2 linked regions of the Caenorhabditis elegans genome follow. The protein of the gene in region 2 purifies or fractionates together with the protein of the main gene of each other region. This does not show direct contact. Each region holds a gene or a part of one and is shown on either strand. Other genes may lie near its edges.

Evidence for each region. The genes of interacting proteins can lie anywhere in the genome.
Region 1: the proteins of F42A8.1 (region 2) and Y49G5A.1 fractionate together in Caenorhabditis elegans (co-fractionation; one large-scale study listed by BioGRID). This does not show direct contact.

Annotation. Positions count from the first base shown.
Region 1 is NC_003283.11:5,285,808-5,289,142, forward strand, and holds Y49G5A.1 (BPTI/Kunitz inhibitor domain-containing protein), read right to left. Parts: upstream 1,567-3,335; 5' UTR 1,554-1,566; coding exon 1,422-1,553; intron 1,106-1,421; coding exon 994-1,105; intron 948-993; coding exon 886-947; intron 843-885; coding exon 600-842; 3' UTR 536-599; downstream 1-535.
Region 2 is NC_003280.10:9,344,704-9,348,459, forward strand, and holds the start of F42A8.1 (uncharacterized protein), read right to left. Parts: upstream 1,888-3,756; 5' UTR 1,863-1,887; coding exon 1,765-1,862; intron 1,239-1,764; coding exon 1,048-1,238; intron 660-1,047; coding exon 568-659; intron 1-567.

The DNA.
Region 1 (3,335 bases), on a different chromosome or scaffold from region 2:
GCCAGAGTCACTAATTTTGGTGAACGGCCAGAGTCACTAATTTTGGTGAACGGCCAGAGTCTTAATTTTTAAAGTAATGCAAACGTAGTAAATCTCCCAATAAAAAAATGCGGTCATATTGCATGAAATTTAGTTTTTTTGATCAAACTGAAAGCTTCTGGCACCTGGAAATTTTTGTAATTAAATTCTGAAAGCGCTTAAAATTTGTCCCTTCTAGGACTTTTTACATAAAAAGCAGGATGGTTCTAGAATTTTCTAGAAACTCTGGAAAAGTTTTAGAATTTTCTTGAAATTCCGCAAAACTCCAGGAAAAGTGTTGACTGTACAAAAATCTTACATTAGCAGTTTAAAATTTATTAAAACAATTTACCGTACGCCAGTCGGAGCACGTGCAAACGGCTGGTTTTTTATAATATGCTTCTACATTAAATTTTTCATTTAAAACAGTGGGATATCATATACAAATCGATAGCTTTGTATATTTGCTGGAGTCCGAAAATCTAAAGATTTCAGACGAATTGTTTGGAAAAGGTTATATTAGTTATATTAATTCATTAATAAAAAAGTTTATATAGATAAACATGCACGGCCGAAAATAATTAATTGCAGCAAGTGGCAAAATATGTTCCCTCCACACAGGTTGCTCCAGCTGGACAGAACTTTGATTTGCAACTCTTCCCAACAATCGTTGTAGGGATTCCACCCTCGACAATTTTTGCAACTTTCTTTCCTTTTGGACATTTTGGCTCATAATCAGCTTCAATCAACTTTTCAATCTTCTTGTCACAGCAAATATTAATATGATTAGAGTACCTACAGATACCTTTTGGCCCACATTCTTCCTGGAATTTTTACAGATTTTTTCAAAAACATGGAGCAACTTACATCGGTTTGGCAGTTTTTATCGTTTATTGGCTTACTTCCAGCGGCACATCCCGATTGATCATCTAAATACTTTGGTTTAAAGTAAAAAATTCAAATGAAAAAACATACATCCAGTACATGTAAATCGACATTCACTCTCAGTTTTGAAATTATTCTTGTTTCCTCCACATCCACTGTACTCAAAAGCCAATGGGATATTGGATTTTTGGTCAAAGTGGTACTGTAAATTATTAAGACTTTATACTTTATGAATTTTATGAAATAAAAATATTGAGAAATATGTTTAGTTTCTGAAAATAATTTTGCTTTTGTTGAAAGTTTTGAAAAGTTGAAATTTTGAAAAGACTTACAGTCTCAGTGTTATTTCGGCACGTTGACTTTTGAGTCAGTTTTTGAGCAAATTCTCGGAATTTTCAATTAAACGTATAGCTATTTTCAGAAAGTACCAATGTTTTTCTATATTTTTTTCCAATTTCCAAAAATTCCAAAGTTTCCAAAAAAAAGCGACATGAAAGCTTTGAAAAATCAAAACTCACTCTTATCTCCTTCTTTCCATTTTTACATGGTGTTTTTCCCATGTCCAATGGAAGTTTGCACTCCGGTTGAAGTGTCGAGACTAACTCACTGACACACAGAATAGTAGCCAAAAAGGTAAGAAGAAGATTCATTTTGCAAAATTGACAGAATAATTGAAATGATCACCGTTTTATACTACTGGAGAAATGGATAAACACGTTGAGAGATAAAGAAATCGAATGACTATACTCAACACTTCCTGGTTTAGATAAGAAGAAGGTCAAACTGGATAATGTTTGGTTGAAGTTCTAGTATAGATTCGTTTAGAAAAATCCGTAAATCTCTTTCAATTGTCGAATGCTAGCTGACAAAACACCCAGAAATCTTCCAATCTGAAATTCTACCTAAAAGTCCAATAAAACAATTATTAATATGGTTGTGTGGCCAAACCATCTAAAAAACTGTTCAGCAAATTTTATAAACGCTCTTGGTATCACCGTGAATGATTCTTTGAATCACTTCCTGGTCACAGAGATTACCAATACGGAGATCATAAATGCCATTTGAAAAAAAGAAATTTTAAAATAGGCTACTACAAAAAATTGACAAGTATTGTGATCAGGATAAAATTCTATCTGATTATTTTTCCAGTGCAAATTGCTTCAAATCAACGATGCTCGAGCTCGACAAATTTCGAAATTTGCAGCACACCAAAAATTTGACAAAACAATTTTGCCCAAAACTATTGAATTTGTCCCCTAAAATTTAGTAAAATTCCACAAAATGGAGTTAATTTGATGTTTAAGCTGACACAGCTCACGAAACTTATTCAGAAATCAGATGTGTGATATCTTTGGTGCTCCAAAATACATCTAAAATATAACATTTTTCCGGAGTCTGTTGAAAACGGCAAATTTGCCGAGTTTGCCGAGCGCGGCAAATTTTGAGATTTGCCGCACATCCCTGCTCCAAATGTGGAAGCCTTTAAAAGTGATCATATTTTTTTCAGAAAGAAAAGTTTCTTGAAAACTCCTATAGTTGTTCACATGTTTTACAAAACATCTGAAAGTCAAGATTATATATGAAAAACTACTCTAACGCAATTTTTCTTTCTGCCACCTATTCACTTTTTCCAAAAAGTTGGGAAATCTCTTGGACATAATTTTCTAATTTCTTAACCCAACTCAAAAGCCTTATTTGAGAATAGACCTCGAGTAACCTAAATTCTCCGGTCCACGTGCTTGTTTATTCCGTTCATGCGAAGTTTGTTCCTAAAATTTTTTTAATATATCCTCTGTAATCCCCCAGCTAAACTCACAAATTTCCGATTCCTTATTTGCTTTTCATGTCACTTCGACGTCTACTTTTTTCGTTGCAGTTGCTTTTCTCTGAAATTCTCCGCAAAAAATAACAAAATTTTGTTACTTGTTACTTTGTTCGCCGTTGATTGAATATGTGCTATGGCAACTCTTTCTGAGTTGTTGGGTTCAAGTTTTGGTAATTGTATGTTTTCAAAAAAAAACTGAAAAGTAAGGTTTTGATTTAGAACGTCAGAATAGAAAACCAAAACCCAAAAAATAAAATAGAAAACAAAAAAAAACGAATCATTATAGTCAAGTCTCTATTGCGAAAAGCAGCTACTATTAGCCTATGGGGTCAATTTGATTATCTGCCTTTGCCTAGTCGGTGTTTTCCCAGCGCAGAATCCACTTTGCTCTGCCTGTGCTCCAAAAGAGTGCTCATTTTCAAAAGACACACATACACTCTTCTCATTTTCTCGTTTTTTTGCTTCTTGTTTCTCATCGTCCGGTTCTTTTTTTTTCCACTTATCATCTACACTTCCTTGATACCATGGCTTATTTAGTGAAGATGGCTTATTTAGTGAAGAATTCATGACATACTGAACGAAAATGTTGCAATGTTCCTCTCTGGGA
Region 2 (3,756 bases):
GCACCTATGGGATGTGGGATCTCTAGAAAACAAGCTTATACTTACTTTAGGTATCACTGTGGGCAAGCACATCGGCGATCAGAGTACCTGTTTGTGTGCCTACCTTAAGCCTACTTGTTTTTATTGGAAACTATTGGTTTGTGCTTCCTAAGTAGATTAACAATATTTTAATTTTGTGAGCACGAAAGCATGAGTCTTGCATCGAACACGCTCTCAATTTAAATTTAATAAATCACACTTTCAAAGTTCATCTCTAATTATTGTGCCACATTTTCAGCGATTTTTCTCGGCATTGTCAAACTATGCCTTCCACTTTTTGAATTTGTAGGTCAAAAAGTTTTCGTTTGGAATCAAATTAGTGAAGTTTCGAAAGTAAAATTGGGTCAGTTCAAAAACTATGTTATAGCTTTCGTTGAAACTTTGATCAACGTTTTTTTTTAGTGGCAACTAAAAAGTTAATAGAAAAATTGCAGAACCCCCTACTGTGTGTGTCCGCCCACCGGATGTGATACATGTTGCAACTTTCTTCACATGTTTTAATATCTTTCACTTTCCTCTCATTCTTACCTTGGCATCGGTCCAAGTCTCTCCTTTTTGATAGGTACGTCCATCTGTGCCGACACATGCGCTGTAGCCGAATTCGATATAACCGTCGCTTCCTGATAAAGAGTAATCGTAAAAAAGGAGATTTGATACGTTTTCTACAAAATCAGATGTGGGTACTCAATGATATGGGGAAAAAGAAGATCAAATCGACAAAAGATGTTGAATGAGAGACATTAGAAATGGTTTTTTTTTTGAATGGACACGATTTTGAGAATACCTACTTTTAAAATATTTTAACAATTTGAAAGTTAGTTATTCTTAACACTGTCGTGAACTCGAAGACTCCAAAAGTTACGGAAACAGTACTAGGTATTCTGAGTAGTAGGTATTAAGAATTTGAACTAGCTAATAAAAAGTTGAATTTAATTCCAACTGAAAATTTATAGTATTCTCAGAAGCCTAGTTGCCCAGATCAGTATAATTTCCATGCTCGAAACTAACCAAGTTGGCAAATGAACTCATATCTATCTTGTTGGAAAGTATGTCCAAGTGGAATCTTTTCCTCTGTGCTTGACAGACATCCAAGTGGCTCCAACTGTCCACGTCTACACTCATAAAAGTATTTTCCACGTGTCACTTGGTCTCCTTCCTGCCACCATTGAGCTGGCCGTCCGTTCCCGCTTGTCCAACATCTGCAAAAGGAGTTTTTTTTTTGAAAACCGGTTCTTATCAATTGGTTTCAGTTTCGTTGAGAACCATAGATACTAGTAGCTAGTTGTCTTGTTCAATGAGATGAACTTGACAAGATGATAAGGAATACAAGGGGAACGGTGAGACATTTAGGTTGTGGATTTTGAAATTTTTGATTTTTTGTTGTTATGTATAGTATGTATACAATGTATACGTTAGAAAAAATGATTCCTCATATCTAATCTCAGAAGTTTGGCTCTGAAATTGAACCACCATGATACTAGAGGTTTAATGTTTTATACGTGCCTCCAGAAAAATTTTTATAATTAATGCCAAATAAAAAATAGGCATAGGCAGGCACGTAGGCAAAAAAAGGCATATTTAGAAGCCATGGAAGCCATATGACTTTCAAAAACAAATTTTTTGAGAATAAAAAAATTTGCTACGAAAATCGTAAGGTTTGAGACTAATAAGGATTAATTTTTCGAAAATTTTGGATACACTGAACCTTTAAAAAATAAAACAAACCTAGCTCTAGCTGCAGCTCCTTTTTCGACATTTGAATAGGCCGAAACCTCGAAAATTGAAAGAATCGAGAGGATAAGTAGAACCAAGTTGTTCTGCATTTTCATCAAAATTTCTTTTGTCTCTAATTCCCCCGCTTTCGGTGATTTTTATAGTAGCTCCTAGGCTCCTCCCACTTCCTCCCCCACATCTTCTTTCTCTTTTTCACTTTTTTCATCTTTTCTCTCCCCTTTTCCGTCCGAAAATGGACAATTGTTCTTCAAGTGGGCGGAGCTCTAGGAACACCTTTTCGCTCTTGAATGTTTGTTTTAAGATGAAGAAAAAGCGGAAAAGAATTGGGATATACATCATAGTTACGCCGGTTTTGTTATTCAAATATCTCATAAATTACAAGTTTTCTGGAGGAAAGAACACCATAAATGACCATTTCAGTGAAAGTGCGTGTAGGAGGGGAAACTACCGGAAATTGAGCTAAAAATATACAGTGTATTGGTCTATGAGTTTTCAAGCTGTCAGATGGTGCAAAATAGATTTATAGATTTTCCAAATAGTTCAAAACAATTCGGTAAACATTCTAAGCTGAGGGAGCCCAAAAATTATGGATGATGCCTTTCAAAGTTATCAATTCGTACTAGAGCTACTCACTTATTCAAAACATCACTCTATAAAACTGGATGGGCAAATGAAAACTTATAGTTAGGACCTGCCTGCCACCTCTGAATTACGGTATGATACAGCTTTTCTACTGTGAAGAATTAAATTTAAGCGCACTTCAAATTGAACGTACTTTTGAGAAAACGGAAATTTCCGAGATTCCATCTATTCCAAAAAGAAATTAGTTGCCAAAATTGAGCAACTGGGAGTAACGGCATATCATTTTCTATCACAATATCACATTCGACTCGTTTGAGCTCTGGAAAATATGATAATCTAACTTTTTGGATATGACGTCACAATCAGTCCTGTAAGAAATTTCACGTTTTCCAGTGGAAGGATCACTCCGAACACGCGCCTCGTATCTCAATCTGAATGTGGCTTACTGCTGTAGTATGGGATTTCCAAAATAATCCATCTTTGAAAATGTGTGTGTTTTTTTAATTTGTATATATTCTCTGCCTTCTTCATCAAAAACTCACCTCGATTTTCACATATGAGTTCTCAATTATTCATCCAAAAATTCCTAGACACTTATTTCATCCAAACGCATATTTGAAACCGTTTCTCCTCCGGTCGAAATGCTAATTGCCGCCCACCTACATATACCGTGACAACATTTTGTTGTGTAGGTGTCAGTAGTTCACTGACGAGATGAAATTCAATTCAGAAAAAAACGTTCTCTGAGACACACTGACGTCTTCTTATTTGCAGGAAATGATTGCTGACACTTTAAAAAATAAATAGGACAACATTAGAAAATAAACAATCAGGTTGATTTATTTACAATAAATAAAACAGTGTAATCAACTTGTCATTTATCAATGGACAGGAGAGTCTGATGAAAAGGTTTCCGGAGAGATCGGAAGTGAGATGGGGAAATTGGAAAAAGGAAAGAGTTGAAATCTCATTGACTACTCGACTTCATTTTTGTTCATGAGAAATCCGTTAAAATTATAGAGAAAGAAGTGAGACAATATGTTGACGTACAAAAATGGTTATATTCATTTGCAATATCTTCTAAAACTCGCAAAATTGCGTATCTTCAAACTGACGTATCTCGAAAACTATAGTTCTAGAAAACAAATGTTCAACAAACAAAACTATTAGAAATATTTTTTCTTCCCTTTGCATCAATTTTCATTACAAAGTAGCAAGGATTTATTGAGTTACACTGATTCAAAGATAGTTTCCTAAAATCTACCAAAATTTTTGAGAACTGTTCTGTTGTACCAGTCTTAACTCAACATCCATTGAGTTTCAGAATTAAATTTTTGTTGGATAGTAAAAAAAAAATATTTTTCCACATTTTATCAGTTAGACTTTTTTGATATTTTTATG